Arabidopsis thaliana: one gene and its partners. The protein of the gene in region 4 interacts with the protein of the main gene of each other region in a pairwise test. Each region holds a gene or a part of one and is shown on either strand. Other genes may lie near its edges.

Region 1 (4,564 bases), on a different chromosome or scaffold from region 4:
TCAAGAACACTATACTCCACCTCAGGATCACGTGCACAAATTTCACTGAAAGATATTAAACACATCTTCACTACTTTATAGCTTCCGGTAACTTTATCTTTACCAAATCCCATTGCCCAATGTCTTGGAGAGAAAGCCGAACCTACTCCAAATATGGTTCCAAATCCGAATCCGTATCGCCGGAGTTGCCTTGTCCAGGGGTTCAAAACGTCTATCCAACGTGGTTCGAGAATGCAGACCAAACCGTCGCAAGTAAACGAGGGTTGTGCGGCGTTGCAGTGCAGATAGACGATCTCTTCGTTCCCTTTGCACTGCGACGACCCGGGGAGGAGCCTAGGCTCCCAGCCGCATTTGCAGTTGTAAGCAGCCAGGATTTTGCGCTTCTTTTGAAGACTCATTCGTCTCTCCACGAACGTCTTCGACTCAAGAATTGATCTCCATCGTTTTGAGACGCTTTTCGATATGAGAATGGATTTCAAGGGAAGTCGAAGGAATATATCTTCTAGAAGATCGGCAACTATGTAGATCGAACTAGGGTTTTTCTCTTCTTCCTCCATTCTTGGTGACTGTTTGTTTTTTGATTTTTTGTCAATCTTTCTGTTAGAAACATCGAGAGATTGACATTTTAATATATTTCCTTATTGGCAAATAGGTGAATTTTTATTAAACTTGTGAATCAAGTTATGTTTCCATAGAGTTGTTTGATTGTATAAATTAGACTGCTCGTAGATATTTATCCAAAATATTGTTATTAAATGGGCAATAATAGAATGGTGATTACAATGTGTTTCTTTACACAACAACCAAACCAAATAAGAACAAATTACAAATAAGAATTCCTTTACAAGAAAATATACAAACTTTAAATCAATATTTAATAACAAACAAAATTAAGAGTATTAATCGAATATCTTTGTGTATGTATTGTCTTTAAAACTATGAGTATACGACCCGAACAAAATCCAGTTCTACCATGGGACAGGTGACGATGTGGGTGACGTTAAGCTGCAGATTAGATAAAACAATTCTGTTAATAAACCATAAATATAAATCATATACTATGTTAATCAATGCGGAGATAGATCTTACTCTAAGAAACTTTTCCAGCAAGAATCACTTGTTTCATCATCAAGAAACTTCTCCCAGTCCTCTAGGAAATCTGAACCGGATGAGTGTTGAGCTGTACTGGGATGGTTCAAACTGGTTGTCTCGGGAGAGACCGATACCGAACCAGTAGATGGGGTTTCTAGTAGTTGATCACCATAGTAACACGGCATCATACCGGTTCTGATATGATCATTTACCTTGGTGGTCGTACTGGTACCCGGTTTTGCTGTATTTAAACTCTCTTGAGAAACCGTAACCAAACCAGGAAGCTGGTTATCTTCAAAACCATCCCAAACATTTTCATAAGATGGAATGAAATCCGAGGCGGCCTCAGGAGTGATTCCACTTTGGTTTATGAAAAGACCAGCCGGGGGATCCGGTTTAGGATTCACTGAATTGGTATTGAAGCTATTGACTACCGGTTCTGGTTTAGGATTCAGTAAATTGGTCTTGAAGCTACTGATGTTTGGTATGGCTTTGGGGGTTATGATTTGAAGCATTTTATGGATCAATTGGAGTTTAAGAATATCTTCCAAAGCGGTGTTATTGTTGAGGAGGTTATTGTTACCAAATTGGCCATTGTTGATTGCTGCCGCGAGCATTTGAGAAACATCGAGGATAGGGCTAAGATCGTTGGTTCTTGGCTCGTGCGTCACTGGATCAATCCCCATTTGCAATAACTTCTTCCTCATATGAGTGTTCCAATAGTTTTTAATTTCATTATCTGTTCTTCCTGGAAGATGACCCGCAATTTTCGACCATCTGTATGGTAAAAATTCGACTCAAACGTTAGTAAAATGAACCAACGAAAACTTAACCTTTTGTATGGTTAGAGAATTATAAACTAAAGTTTAGACTATAGTCTTGAGGATGTGAATTCTATAATAGCAATAATAAACTATGCAATGGTATCCATACGTAAATTTGTTTTTGCACTTTATATTAATTTTAAAAGAACTGAAAATGGTTTATATTTTAAAATTATGAAAAAAACATGTAAACAGGAACACATAATTACGTCTGAAACAAGCGAGACCTAAATCATTTAGTGCTAACAAAATAGCATAAAAGCTTTAACGAAAAAAAAATAGTCTTACTTGTTGCCAAGGAGGGCATGGAGTCTAACGATAGTACTCTCTTCTCCATCGGAAAATTTGCCTCTCCGGATATCAGGCCGGAGATAATTCATCCACCGGAGCCGACAGCTCTTGCCACAGCGGTTAAGTCCAGCGAGCTTAGGAAGCGACCGCCAATTCCCATAACCATTCTCGTTTATATAAGCAGTGAGCTTATCATCTTCTTCTGGCAGCCACGGTCCTTTCTTCACGCCTTTGTCTTGATCGCAACACGGTGATCTTCCCATTTTGTTTATATCAAGAACCAAAACTTATCAGAGGTTTTTGAAGATATGATCTTCGTTTCGTCGCTCCCTACGATTAGGTTTGTATGTATATATAGATGTGAAAAGCAGTCATGACATAACTAAAGTAAAGTTGTGTATGCATTCGTCAGAATTTGGTGTAAATATTATTTTTCATAGTGTGTCATAAGTCTACAATATATGAGTCATTCAATAAATCAGTTAAATAACCAAAATAGTTATAACAAAATCAAGATTAGGTACTGATAATATGATATGTGTCATGGCGTTCGAACTTCGAAGAGTAATTCGTGGGGATGATGTTCAAACAAATAATTTTTATATAAAAGAATACGAATAATTGTTAATGCATTAATGGATTTTGTTATTGTGGGTTAGATGTATAAAATATTTGCCCTAGCTATGTTAGAATAAAATGTTGATATTTCCCTACTAAAATCTTTTTTTTTTGGGACCAAATTTCTTACGCTCTTTTACTTGTAAAACAATCACAAATTATATACTATTTCATAATCTGCAATTCAAACTAATCTTATTGAAATTATGTTATAAAAGAAAGCCACATTTTTCAAAAATTAAACATGCATGTGATCATTTTTGAATATTTCCTATATATGTGTATATTTCTCTATTTAGATTAAAACCTACAAATAAGAATTTCGCATAAATGCATGATTATAAATTAAACTTGTTAACTACTTTTCTTGAAGGGTATATTTAACTAATATTTAATTGAAAAGCAATATTATGTTCTCATTGCAAAGTTCATCAAAATTGGAATCTTGCATTTATCATTATGTGATTGCTTCCACCGCATTCAAAGAATTATCTCTACCTGCTTCAATGTCTCATGGTTGATCAAAGCCTACCCTTTCGCTTCTTCTTCCTCTATTTGAATTCAAACGAAGATTATTATTATTCTCCTTATTGTTACCAAACCGTCGTTTGTGCCTACCATACGTTCTGAATTTCAAGTCACAAAAAATTACCTATGCTATTATCATTTGTTTTTTGTTTAATTGTTTTGTAATTTTTTGTTACGTGAAAATATAAATTTTTTACGTGAAACTCTCTTTAGTATAGGTTATCTCAATTTCTGTTTTATATTATTCGAAAATATACATATGGATTTGGATGATCAAGTTAATACGAGATTTTCGAATTGATTTACTTTGATAAAGGAAATGGATAGCTTTTTTCGATTGACTAATTTAATTAAAGAACTTCTCTCGCGGGTTCCAAACATTAAGTCGATAGCGTGAGGAACACATAAACGAGTAAGTGGATTTTATTAGAAGGTGTAACTATAAAGTTGGTATTATATATTACGTTGTATTATACTATTGGATCTTTGAAAAAATCTTTCATAATAGAATCTTGTTGTCTTCAAAGGAATGAGAAGGATCACGACAAATTAGAAAAAAAACATAAAACGAAATTTCCTACGGTTGGAGAAAATGTTTACTAGTATAATTTAAATAATGAGGTTTAATTTCACTCTCACGGAAGATCTTGTTTACATACTTAATTACTATTTTTTTACCGTTAAATTACTGTTATGGTTTAAAGGGTCAATGTTCAGGCTTGTTTCACATTGTCAAATTAAAACCAAACACTTACCAACTCTCTATTTATCACGTTGACTATTTAAACAGTCGTATATATTAAGGGTTCCATGTAATTAGTAGCACCATATAGTATAAAATTCCTATGCTATATTTATTTGACATTGTCAACGAGTATAGATAAGACAAGCCTTAAAATTCTATGTAATGTTATTGTTACGCGGCTTACGCAACAGATACATAGTCGTCAATTTGTAATTCAATGGCTGCTTCACTCTTTCGGTCTCTGTAGCTAAAATTGACTTCCGAATTCAAATGAGTTCATAACATTGTATAAACTTTCAGTCTAGATCGGTTATCTTTTTTCTTGTTTGGATTTTTGTTCCTACTCTTGAACATCTTTGGAAACCGATCGATCTTTGAATTATAAACTTGCACCATATAGAAAACAGTGAAGGTCGCTTGAGGCACCAAGAGTATCTTCCAAGTTCCAACGACCATCCAACGTATG
Region 2 (3,848 bases), on a different chromosome or scaffold from region 4:
GAATTAGGTGTGCACCAAAAAAATAAAAAATGCCTAGGTGTTCCATTACAAGTTACGACCATAGTTAGAATATATTTATGATAAAAATTAACACCTTTATTGCATTTTTGGTTATCATTTGCTTGGAATAAAAAAAAGAGTTGGATATTTCTCTTCTAGAAGTAATAGTTTCATTTTAGACCAAAAAAAAAAAAGAACTAGAAGTTTCATCACCCAAATATTTATTTAAAGATTGTAGTTTTGAGCAACTCATAATAATCTTTCTTCCCTGAGGTCATATCTGCCTAAGAAGATTAGACCACAATATGAACAAACATGAAAAACTTTTGATTCAACGAATCTAAATGTCAAGACATACCCTTATGGGGGGAGAGAGGCTGAGACTTATCTGTCAAAATTAAGAAAAGAAGGAGAAGCTAAACAAATTTTTCTACAGCCTGCACCAGCAATGGTGGTCTCTCTTAAGGTCCCTTACAATATAAAAAAAAAAAAAATAATTAAAATGGAAGGGACACAGGAGAGAAGGGCTCCAAAAACCCTTATATAAGGGACCTGAAGATTAAATGTACATGTGTAGGTTTTTTAGTTGTCAAACTATGTTAAAAAATTAAAATATTATTATTTTTTGGTTTTTTAGGGACTGTCATCATCCCACCCATTGGGGTTGCTCTAATAGATTGTGATAAATGATCACTCATGCGTACAGTAAGAATGTTATTATGGTTAACTTTTTTTTTTTTAATAACTCCAACATTAACATAAATTCTATTATGATATAGTAATTGTTTGTAATATGCAAGATTAACAACAAAAGAAAAAGAAACGTTCTATACTATCACTCTTTCTATTTAATCCTATCTCTCATCTTCAATATTTTCTTCACTCCAAGGCTAATTTGTCTGCAATAGCCTTTTGACGATCCCGCAAGACTTGTAAGTGGCTACGGATCTGGTCACCAGTGAGACCCTCTTCAGAAATTAGTTCGTTTATGGCTTTGGGTGTTGCACCTGAAAAAAAAAAAAAAAATTAGGAAAATAGTTAGGAGTTGAAAGAATAAACAAAATAAATAAAAAAATTATAAAGTTGCATACTGAATAATCCCCCAAGTCTGACAACTGCGTCATCAAACACTAGTTGAAGCCTATTTGTCCACACCAAGTCTGGGTTTCGGATTGGGTTTGGGATTGGGTTAGGGTTAGGATTAGGGTTAGGGTTTGGGAATAGAGCAGGTAGGCCTGGAGAGATCTGTGGTATTGGGTTTATGAAATTTGGTATTGTTGGTTCTTGGGCCTGCGGACGGAGAAACGGGTTAACAAACGGTGACGGAGAGGAGGATAAAGGTGACGGAAAGATGTTACTAAGCCGTGCTCGCTTAGATGATGATGATTCGGGTGGCTGAATAGAGGATGATGGTGACGACGGAAAGAATTCCCTCAAAGATGGTCGATCAGACGAATCGGGAGGTCGAACAGAGTATGGCATTGACGACGGAAAGAACGAAGATGTTGCGAGAGTTGAAGATGAAGATGGCTGATGAGAGTATGACACTGACGACGTAAAGAATTCCCTCAAAGATGCGGGTGGTTGAAGAGAGGAGGATGACATCGACGGTGGTTGAAGAGACGGTGACGATGATGTTGCGAGAGTTGAAGATGACGGTGGTTGATGAGAGTATGACACTGATGACCGAAAGAAGTCTATCAACGGTGCGGGTGGTTGAAGAGAGGATGATGACGATGGTGCGAGAGTTGACGATGACGGTGGTTGAAGAGAGGAGGATGACATCGATGGTGGTGGAAGAAAGTTCTGACGGAGATCCATAAGTAGAGCAATTTCTGCGTTTCCAAGACCCAACAAGATTTGAGAATGAGAGAGGAACAACTTTAAATTACAAGGTGAAGGAGAAGAAATTAACCTGCTTCTCTCGCGGTACTCCGATCTTGAATTATCTTCGCCGCATCTTCATCTTCATCTTCTTTCGTCTCTTCATCCAACTTTTTTAAATGCTCATCTATCTTCACGATTTTCTGAGAATGTGATTCAATAGAACTTAGCTCTTCAAGAAACTCATCAAGATTAGTCATGGCTTGCAACTTAAGAAATTTGATTCATCACGTTCTATATATATATAGGAGGAATAATTTGCAGATGGAATCACAAATTTACCCTCTCTAGAGAGAGCAAAAATACCCATACTGTTGAGAATTACTAAAAACCCACATGTTATGATGTTAACGCAGATATCAATATAAATGTTTGCTCTAGCAATCCAAGGAAGTGAGCTTTATGAAAATCGAATTCAGGCGTACAGAGAACTGATTACTTTCTTGGAAATACATGTTTCCAATAATTATACATCATGCTGCATGCGTGTGATTTTTCTTATTTTCTCCATTACTTTGCTAACTCTAAAATGGTCTCAAGTTACTTTGCTCTCAACTTTTAAAGCTATCAACTCCAGTATAAAATAAATTAATAAATATTATACAACTTAAGGTTATGTAACATACCAAGCAATTAGGACGTACATTAATTGGTATATTTCTCCTGATTTCATATTTGTAGCCTAACTAATAAAACTGCAATTATTTTATATTAAAAACAGCGTACACGGTACATCAATGCAGTTTCTAGCTTCGTGCATGGTGAAAGTTGTTTTTGCGGCCGATCTGATTTTCATAAAAAAAAAAAAAAGGATTTTCCACTATGAATCGGTTGCTACAAGCCTACAACTTTTCTTCTTAATATATGAAGCATTTATAATAATAAAAATAGGTACATGCAGATCAGATGATAAGATGTCCCATATATATAGATAATACCCTAGCTAGGTCGGGTTGATGTTGAAGAAAAAACAAAACCCAATTAACCGCGTTTATTGCATGTAGCATGAAGTTTATGTGATCATCAGTTCTCATAGATCCTCGTCAGCCTTCCTCTTCCTCATCTCCCCGAGTAGAGTTTGCCTTAAACTATTAAAGTAAAAGTAATCATTAAACGGTTGATAATGATCATAATTAATCATCTAAGTCGTCAATATCATTAAAAATTTCTCTAAAAAGTCGTCAATTGTTAAACTTACTTTTCTAAAACCTTACGCGCCTCCGCTCTTTTTATGGAGCGAATCCTAGCCCTCTCTTCGACAATCGCCTTGGCTACACGAATATGAAACACATAAAGATAAAAAAGGAGAATAAAATAGAAAGAATGATCAAATAGATACTCTGAATAAATACCTATCTTTAGATAGGCCACCTCCTCCTTAAGTTGTGCAACATATTCATCAATTCTGGATATTATTTCCGGAAATGATTCGATTTTTGAGATTTCTTGCTCGAACTCATTACAATCCTTCCAGCTCCTGGGGATTGAAAGCAAAGGGAAGCTTGGGAGAGAAGAAAGGATTTTAAATCAGAGTGGAAAAAACACATTAAAAACCTAGAAATTACCTCTTCTTAAAGTATCCTGGACGAGGATGACGAATTAAGAATAAATGTGAACGGGCCTGTCGGATTTCAAATGTGTAATGCGAGTGCACCATCTTGAGAACGAGATCTGTCGTCTCTCTATTATAGTCTTCTTCTCTTTTGCAACAAAGTTTACTTTTGTCGTTGAATTTAATGATAGGGATAAGATCAATAATATCAGTGTTATTTAAAAATACAAAGATTGTATTTATTGGAGTACTAGGATCTTTAGTAAAATCTAAACAAACTATAATTTAGATTTCAATACTGAAATTCTAAACAGAGTTTATATATTTTAAAGAAGCATTTAATGTATATATTTGTTTCCTTCGATAATTCTTAAAAACATTTAGAGAAAACGAAAATTGAACGCCATAACTA
Region 3 (5,213 bases), 9.8 Mb from region 4:
TGCGTTGTGGTGTAGGGATTTTCGAATGGTTCTTAGATGGCTTATGTTGTTTTTGTGGGTTGGTCTATGTTGCTAGTAGCGCCTCTTGATCCGGTCATGTTTTAGCCTTCTTCTCGTTTAGCCTCTTACCAGGCTTGGTGGTTGCTTTCGTTTCTGTCCGGTTCGATCTCCTCCCGTTTTTCTTTTTCGGTGTGGTCCGAATTGATTTGGTTCTCTCCTTGTCTCTACTCTAAAGATCTGATCGAGATCTCATCTGTTCATTGGCTGGTTTCCTTCGAGGCGCTAAACAATCATATTCTTTAATTCGCCGATTCCGGGAGTGTAGGTGTGACTTGTCGTCTTTGGCCTAGTTCTTCTCGCCGGTATGGATTCCTTGGAACTCTTCTATGTAAGGTAGTCTTCATCGTAATAGGTGGCACCGCTGTCCGTTTGGTTGGGAGTTCCTTGTCTCCTACGGAGTGGCTTGTTGTAAAGCTCTGCCTTTCCTTTGTCTGGTAATGTGGTTGACGAGATGTTGTGTTTAAAATTTTGGTTGTTTTGGTCTGCTTCTTTGTTTCAGTTTCGCAACTTTGCTTTGTTTGTAAGGTTTGTTTTGCCTTGTTGTCTCCCTTTCCTTTGGGTTTTGCTTCCAAGACTATCCTTTTAATCGTCGGCTTAGTTTTCTGGTGTTACTTGTTAACCGCCGGCTTTATATTTCACTTTTGTATTTCACCGGAATCTCTATAATAAATTTTCAGACGACAAAAAAAAAAAGTAACTTAGAAAGGTCAAATGTCAAAACAAAAAGTGTTTTTTTTTTAGTAAGTGTTTTTCTCCATCGTACGTACAAAAGCATTGAGCGCGCGAAGTCAAGAAGGATCTTTATTATGATAGGTTAACAAAGATTCTTACTAAAGTACTGTTTCATGGAATGTTAAAACATTCATGGAATAAGAGTAGTCATGAATGCAAAAGTAGAATTTTTTTTATAGAGTCAATGCATGTCTCTTCAAATTAAGTTCAAAGTTGACAAGTACTACGAAATTACTGAACAAACTCGCTCATTCCCAAGGACTCTTCTCGAACACACACAAATCCTACTTCCGTTTCAGATTCTTCTTCTCTCTATCTCTCTCCAACAACAGAAACCCTAAACCAACATAATCAAACCCTAGAAGAAAAGAGTCACCATCACATGTCATACGCCATTATTTATTTTTTTGTTAAATTTTCATATCCCAAATTGTTATTACTCAAATGGAGATTTTCCCCAAATGGAATGCCTCTGAGCCTTTCTCTCTCGGAACCCATTATTGCTTTCTTCATGGTCCTGCATCACAAACATTTCAACAATTATTTGGTATATTAATTGAAAACTATACATATTCAGCTTCAATGTTTTAAATTAGTTGAATGGGTTTCTATAAAAGTAAACTGTGTGCAGTGTAAGCTTCAATACTATAAAAGGGTTTAGGTCATAAATTTCACACATTGTAGTAGTTGAAGATCAATGATATATTCTCACAATCTCACTTACCCTTCTCCTTGCTTTCACTCTAATAATTAGTAAATGATTTCTCTTTATATAATTAGTCTAGCTAGGGTTCTGAAATTTTGACTGAGAGCGATGCTATTTGGATCTAGTTAATGCTTTAATTATTTGGTTTGCTTTGGAAAATGACACTTGTTGTGGAGTTTACTTGTCAAGAATATGGTAATTGATTTTGAAGCGAAAGTGATTAAAAAATATAAATGGTTGCTGAGGATTACCTCAAAAACATTGCATGGTAGTATCGCATTGTTATCTTCCTCACAAAAACATTGATCTGAAGCAGCTCTCTTGTTGTGAGCTGGAGGAAAATGGGCCCACTTCGCCATCCCCAAATCAAAAAATTGAAATCATAAAATGTTATTAGCTAACTCGATCTGTCAATTAAGCTAACAAAAAGATGAAAACTATATTAGGGTTTTCTTTTAAATCTTAAGACTAATTAAGCTTAAGTACATTTTTGGCAGCTAAGCTGAAAGCTTCCTTGTGAGCCATGCTTGGATTCTGAGCCTTTAACCTCCTGATCTCTTCCCTGCTCCAATACAACCCCCAAAGAAGAACCATTTTACAAACTCAAAACCTTAAGTGGTTAAATTTGTAAGAATATATATAATATACATACACATGTAATGTGTTGAATTTATTTCTTACTTGATGAAGCAATTGTAAGCTGAAGGAGCTCTTTGTCGCTTCTCAGGTGCTATATATATACAAACTCAAAACATAATTAGACGACTGATGAAAGGAGAAATCGCAAAACTAAAGTTTAAGTTGAATTTATACTCAAACGTACGTTTATTGACAACTTGGTAAACACGAGACACATCTTCATCTTCATTGTCTGAAGATGAAACCAAAGTCGTTGGACTGTTCTCCTTCTCCTGATTCACCTTCCATGCTTCTTCTTCCACACCATCTGTAGCTGCAACCTCCTCTTTCCCGGTCTGCACATATATTTACATATAATCAAAAGTAAGTATATATATATATATATTGGTCATATTTAGATGGTGTGTGTTTGTCTATGTATAGATGTTATGGAAACCTCATCAAGATGGGAGAGAGAAGCAAGGAGATGGAGAGGAATGAAGGAAGCCTTCATCAAATTGACAGAGAGAAGGCTTGTGCAATGCCCACATCTCACAGTCACCACCATTGACAAGCTTGTAAACGGTACACTCACCTGCAACACATTTACACTCATTAAACTCATGATCATATATATAAAGAGAGGAAGGGAGAAAGGAAGGGAGAGAATAAGAGAAGAAGTTAAGGTATACCAGCAAAATAGTGGTGCAAAAACCACACTGGACATGGCAAATCTGCCCCGGCAGATCAAATAGATGGTTGAGTGTTGTCGTCATGTTGGGGAGCTTTGTCATAGAGAGTGTGTGTGTACGATGAATGATAGGAGATATATGTGTGTGTGTGTGTGTGTATATATAGACAGAGAGATAGGTTTTGTTAATATTCATTAATGCAAATATGTAATTATATTTATATCTTTCATGTGGAATGCTTTGGTTATATGCTAAAATGCACAATACAATTCAACTTATGTACGTCTCTATCTCACTTGTAATAATTGGAATCTTCATAGTCTCTATGAGCTGTAAGCAGTAAATGATTCTCATTCTTTCTATTAATCACATTCCTAACTCCTTAATATTCAAACTACATTTTCTTCTCTAAAATAAAATAAAATAAAATGATGTATATAATACTTTTGTTGATGATGGAGTTTAATTAAGAATTTTCGTTATACAAAAGCATTGTTATAAGATTTTTATGTTATGTCACACTCACAAAATATATATGACAAATGATACATAACGTTTGAGCGTTTACCATTAGAGGAGACATTTTTTGTTGTCAAAACAATTTAAAACACTTAATAACCTATAAACAGAAAATATATAAGCTCCCTTCAAAAACCATTTCAGGATTTTTCTGATAAATAAGCATACAAGATAATATGTGTTATTGTAAGATAACACTAGGTTAAACAAAAAAATAACAAGAGATAAAAATCGATGGTAAAGAGTATGAGTATTAAAAATGAACATGTGAAAATGGAAAGGCACGTTGCACAAGAGGAGATAGATAGACATCGAAGAGAGCTGGGGTTAATAAATGATGTGATGTGGTGGTGTGGTTTGGTTTGCAAGTTAGAAAGAAAGAAAAAAACAAGTGAGGTTGAGAAAGAAATGCCTCTTTGTCTCATGTGTAGTTGTCTCTTTAAATGGGATTTAATGAATCTCTCACAAAACTCAACAGTCTTTTGGAGTTTTGGTTGAAGTGAGACTGAAAATGAAAGTGCAGTGAGTTGAGACTAGTGCGGGTGTTTCTAGGAGACTCATCACTTTTAGTAACTCGGAATCTTAGGATTTTGTCTTTCTTCTCTCACATTTTTGCTAACTGTTTCTTGACCATTTTACCCAAACTCTTCTCTCTCTCTCTCTCTCTATTTCTTCAAGTTTCAGTGCTTTCTCTCTGTGTCATGTTATTTCTACTGTCCCTCTCTTTATTGCTTTCTCTCTCTCTCACTTACTCTCATCTCCTATTTTGTGTTCAACCACAAGAAAAAGACTAAACATAATACTAATATTTACTCAATTTCCTACACATTTGTAATTTTTGTGTGGGTGGAATCCAATGCAATGACCCAACCCCGGAGTGAACAAGTTTCGACCCATTTTGAGAGATCACATAATTTACCGACCCATTAATAAGTTTCGATCCATTTTCATAAGCCTATTGATGAGTAATTGAGTAGGAGGTACACATTTGTGATTTGAGAGATTAGAGGTTAAAATTATACATTGTAATCATAGTTATGGCTTCTGGTTTAACAGTCTTTTACTCCATATATACTGATATACATCTCATTTCTAGTCTCAAACTTTTACATGACAGCTTATAGATTGGTCAAATCTCACTGTTAACATAAATAGAAGCTGTGAAATGACGATAAAATGTGCAAAGACAAACGCACGTTAATGTCAAACACATAATCAATATCTGAGAGAATTTAAACTTATCTTAGCAAACAAGTTATCAGAGCCAACAACAACAAAACTTCAAGACATTGGTGTAAGAATATGATCAGAATCAACATAATGGCTAAATTTTGCCTTGCACTAATCCAGGTTAAAACTAAAACAATGTCGCAAAGAATTGTTCCAACACAACGTCCTAATTCTACAGCCACAATTCAACATTTCCACATCAGTCAAAGCATAATGAAACAAAAAAAAAATTGATCAAATTTCTAATCAAAGATAATATAATGTATTATGCAACAATTAAACCATCCCTCAATAGTATAAAACCATCTCAAAATATCTGAATTAAAAAAAAAACAATCTAAATTCCAAAAGCAAAAAGACATAACCTACTCTTCATCAGCCTTCTTGAACACGTAAGTAGTTCCACATTTCCCACAATAATGCCTATCGAAATGACTCGCCATGAAAGTTCCAGGACCACAACTAACAGAAGGACACTCTTTCTTCAACCTCTGAACTTTCCCACTTCCATCAACCTTGTAAAACTGCAGAACTGCTAGCTTCACTTTCTTGTGCGTATGCTTAATCTTCTTAGGTTTCGTGTACGTCTTCTTCTTCCTCTTCTTCGCACCTCCTCTCAGACGTAGAACCAAATGAAGCGTCGACTCTTTCTGGAT
Region 4 (4,201 bases):
TATGTCGAGTAACTTGGACAGCAAGATACTTTCCTTTGCTCTGCCAGTACATCTTACAGTCGCTAACGCTGAGAATATCCTTGTGCATCAGCTCCACATAGCCCGGTATTTGCAGAAAAACAACCTTTTTAGGCTGGTTCTTGACATCCCCTTTCAACAGTGAAAGGATTGGTTCAGTAGGAGACCAAGACATGCCCACAACATCATCAAAATTCACAGCCGCGCCTTCTTGCGTAGCAGTCTGAAAGTCTTAGTCTCATAAACAGATACAGTGTTTTTGATAAGTGTGGCAAAGTATTTATCATCTTTTCCCCCAGCCCATCTAAGGAAAAAAAGAGAGGTTATGTCAATGAATGTATTAAGAATTCTATTCAAAGGAAATTCAAGAAAGTACCTAATTATAGGCCATGAGTTGTCAACAACATGACCATCTACTCCAGCCATTATTCTCCCAGTTCTCACATCAAAGATTCTTAACCAGGGTTCCTGCAATTTGGATGCAAATAAGAATACTTTGCATCAAAATGAGATTGGAAGTAGAGAAGCAACGATGATCTATGGAATCTCTCGTCTGTCACCAGTTTGGCACTTGAAAAGTTTTTACCATTCTTAACCTCTTGTAAGAATTTTACATTATTGAATCTTTACTTCTCTTCTTATCATATTTTTGGACTTGGTTACTTTTTTTCCCTGGAATAAGAGATCAGGTTGGCCTGTGCTTCTACGTTTTTGTTATGTATTTTGCAAACAAATTGCTCAATTGGTTTCATCATGCCTATTTTCAGTTACAAGAGATCTTCTCTGATAAGTATAAACTTGAGACCCCATTATCTCACCTCTTAGATTATAAAACTTCAATTTTGGCAGCTACATAGTAACATGCTACGCTACTTTTAGTATTTTTTGGTGAAATTTTCTAGTCAACACTTGGTCTATGACTCTTTAATATGTTTTGTTTGTTGTATCTATGTATACTTCTATTCAACTTTCTCTCTACTGTCTGAATATGAAATCCTCCTATAGGCCTTTGTTTCAAGAAATATATTGAGAAGAAAATCATAGATTTGAAATGGAAAAACAGATTCCTCTGCTGTACATTATTATTTGCCGCAGTTTCGCTATTCGATTTGAGAATGTACACAAGTTTTCAGTACAATATATGTCAGTTTTAATACCAACTGTATTGTTTTCAGTCAGTGCATTGTCGACGGAGCTGGATGTTGCTGCGGTAATGGCGGTACCGGATAAGCCGGTACAGCATAAGGAGCAACTCCAAGATGATGGTGATGGTGATGATGATGAGTTCCCATTGGAGGTGGAAGCATCACAGGTGTTCCAACAGCTGAACCCATATGATCAGGTGGTGCGATGATCGGTTGTCCCACTGGCGCACCACCATACATCCCTAATCCAGCCATTGTTGGGGGATGATGTTGTTGTGGTTGCGGTTGTGGCTGTGGTTGTGGCTGAGCTGGTCTATGTTTAACCACTTGCGGTTGTTGTCCTCCTCCTGTAACCGCAGGAGCTTGATTGTTCACAGTGGTGATGTCGTGAATGCTAGACCGCCTTCTATCTCGGTTCATCGAGTTAAGCCTGATGAAGTATTTTTGAGCATGACTTGCAACTTGTGTTGGAGTTCTTGAGATCACAAAGTTCCTTGAAATGCTTCTCCAATCTCCTTTCCCAAACTTGTCCAAACCCAAAAGAAACAACCTTCCAAACAAAACAGAGTATTCAATAAAGGTAAAGAATCTTCCAAATCTTTTTTCACTCTTTTAAGTCTAAATAATATCAATGGATAGATGATGGAGATGAAGGAGAAGAAGAAGAAACCGATGCTCTTCTTCAGTCCATGGAATCCCTTTTCTTCTCTCTTGCTCAGCTCTCGAGCCACCACTTCTTCCTCCATTGGAGCTACTTATCCCGGAGGTGCCAGGATTTGGTTTCTTCTCAGATGATCCAGAGGAATGAGAGTCTCTGTTGGCAGGAGAAGTAGCTGCTGCTGCTGCTTCATCTACGATGAGACCTTTGCGGTGATGATAACGAGGTAAAGGAACTTGACCATTCTCGATTGCTTTGACATCTTCTAAAAGGATTTGGTAATGTTTCTTTACTTCTTCTAAGGCTTTGCTTGGTACCATTGACGACATTTTGTTCCATTGATCCTCTGTTATCTCTTCCTCTACACAATGCAACGCAATTGCGTTCTCGAATGCTTTCTCTTCTTCTCTGCTCCATGTTGCCACCACACTCTCCATTCGATTGCTTCAATCTTTTCTTCTCTGTTTCTCTCTCTCTCTCTCTTCTCTTTGGTTTAATCGTGTGGTGGACATGATAGTGTTTTTGAAACGCATATGTGAATGGGTCAGATTCTTTACCTTTTGGAGTTTTGTGAAACTTTTTTTTTTGTTTGGTATTAAGTTGAGGTGCGCATGATAAGAATGGACATTTGTATATGCGCATGATAAGAATGGACATTTGTATATGCGCATGATAGTATAGAGGACAGTGCATATGCGCAGGATAAGTAAGAGGTTGATTGGGACTTTATCTTATTCACAAGGATCAATCAGTTGGGTTTGTTTTCTATTGTGTCACTCATAAGGAAAGAGTACGCATAGGATAAGATTCTTGTAGTTGACGATTACTCTTCACTTTTCTTTGAAATTTGATCCTTATTCATTCTTTAGAGACTTTGGTCATTTCGATTTATATTACTCGAATACAATGCAAAAGATTAGTGTAGCTTTACCTTTTGATATTTATAAAACATTTATTTCAAAAAATTTATATTTTTTTTTTGAATTTTGTTAAGACAAATGCAGTTTGAAACAATTGATCACATTTTAAAACTTTATATTAGTGAGCATCATTATAATTAATAGAGAATGTAAATAATAGAGTTTTAAAATGTAAAAGAATGTAAAACAATACCGTCGCCGAGTTTACTGAATTCAGACATCGCGTTTTATAATCAGTCGTAAAGATAAATAGCGACCAAAAATTATAATCGCAGGTCGCTATATCCAGCGACTTCCATACGAACAACATTTGGTCGCGGTCGCCAACGACTAACAAACGAACATCACATAAATAGTATAAATGCAAAATTCGGAAAAACAATAAACTAATCGAGATTTGAAAAAGAATTTTATCAAGATCAAAATATTTTCTTTTTCCAAGATCTACATACTTGTTAATAGAACATGCATGAAAACAAACTCGATTAAAGAAATTTATTTAACATAGTATCGAATACATAAAATGATAAATCTTCATTCAACAACCCATCTATAAATTTCTAGAGCTAGAAAAACGTTTTTTTTTTTTTTTTTACGTCATTTCTCATCTCTCTTTTAAATAATAGGTGGAAATTAATAGATGGGTTGTTGAATGAAGATTTTCTTCCAAATAAGCTCGTATATATAATGGTCATCTGATCCAGAATTTGTCTTTGGAAGGTAATGGGCCTTTCGCGATAAGGAGCTTGACTGTTAGGCTTCCCTGCGTATGTCACCCCACCCAAGTCACTAAGGTACGATCTTTTTTTTTTTTTCTTTTTTTTTTTGTTAAAGTTCTTACCATCTTTCACTTCAATAATAAGTTTTTTTTGAATTGTGAGATCTCACACCATATATATATGGACACTTAAAAGTCTAAATGAATCGGATACTTTACTTTCTATAAGACAACAACAAAAAAGTGTAAATGAATCAAAATATGTGAAAAAATCAACTTAACGGGTACTTAATTCATTGAAAAATTGCTGGCTAGCTTTTTGTAGACAACCTTTTATATTTCCAGTTGTTAATATTTGGGCTTTTGTTGGAGACGTTTCTTGAATATTTTAGCTACTTTCTATGTCTTGAGGAATTTGAACTTTCTCAAGGTGTGTTATAGCCTTTATTGGGGCTGGGTAAAATATTCGTTCGATCCGCTTCGATTCGGTATTCGATTTGATTTGATTCAAAAAATCCGAATATCCGTAAGATTTTGGACCAAAGCAAATATGAAAATGTAGTATTCGTAAAAACCGAATCAAATAGCAAATATTGTCTTTTTTAAAATCGAATATCCGCTTTGATCCGTATCTTTTGATATATATTAGAATATATAGTTATATCTATATGTAGATATCATAAATAGTTTGTGTATTGTTGCTACCTTATGTTTTTATGTTAAGATGTTTGTTTTATCATTT

What was found.
Region 1: the proteins of AT1G49010 (region 4) and MYB39 interact in a two-hybrid assay, tested with the Arabidopsis thaliana proteins (one large-scale study listed by BioGRID).
Region 2: the proteins of AT1G49010 (region 4) and AT3G19070 interact in a two-hybrid assay, tested with the Arabidopsis thaliana proteins (one large-scale study listed by BioGRID).
Region 3: the proteins of AT1G49010 (region 4) and INO interact in a two-hybrid assay, tested with the Arabidopsis thaliana proteins (one large-scale study listed by BioGRID).

Annotation. Positions count from the first base shown.
Region 1 is NC_003075.7:9,880,899-9,885,462, forward strand, and holds MYB39 (myb domain protein 39), read right to left. Parts: upstream 2,535-4,564; 5' UTR 2,471-2,534; coding exon 2,205-2,470; intron 1,870-2,204; coding exon 1,090-1,869; coding exon of another isoform or gene 1,086-1,089; exon of another isoform or gene 1,006-1,085; coding exon 969-1,005; 3' UTR 701-968; downstream 1-700. Other genes in the region: AT4G17780 (F-box and associated interaction domains-containing protein), read right to left, coding at 1-557.
Region 2 is NC_003074.8:6,592,009-6,595,856, reverse strand, and holds AT3G19070 (Homeodomain-like superfamily protein), read right to left. Parts: upstream 2,085-3,848; coding exon 1,916-2,084; intron 1,836-1,915; coding exon 1,092-1,835; intron 1,008-1,091; coding exon 880-1,007; downstream 1-879. Other genes in the region: AT3G19055 (uncharacterized protein), read right to left, coding at 2,915-2,966, 3,083-3,155, 3,237-3,361, 3,450-3,541.
Region 3 is NC_003070.9:8,315,120-8,320,332, reverse strand, and holds INO (Plant-specific transcription factor YABBY family protein), read right to left. Parts: upstream 3,037-5,213; 5' UTR 3,004-3,036; coding exon 2,809-3,003; intron 2,712-2,808; coding exon 2,574-2,711; intron 2,473-2,573; coding exon 2,322-2,472; intron 2,229-2,321; coding exon 2,180-2,228; intron 2,061-2,179; coding exon 1,985-2,060; intron 1,849-1,984; coding exon 1,750-1,848; intron 1,310-1,749; coding exon 1,229-1,309; 3' UTR 842-1,228; downstream 1-841. Other genes in the region: AT1G23410 (Ribosomal protein S27a / Ubiquitin family protein), read right to left, coding at 4,923-5,213. UniProt on the Arabidopsis thaliana protein: Essential for the formation and the abaxial-adaxial asymmetric growth of the ovule outer integument.
Region 4 is NC_003070.9:18,130,771-18,134,971, reverse strand, and holds AT1G49010 (Duplicated homeodomain-like superfamily protein), read right to left. Parts: upstream 2,428-4,201; 5' UTR 2,259-2,427; coding exon 1,834-2,258; intron 1,714-1,833; coding exon 1,194-1,713; 3' UTR 955-1,193; downstream 1-954. Other genes in the region: AT1G49015 (DPP6 N-terminal domain-like protein), read right to left, coding at 1-241, 271-322, 395-444.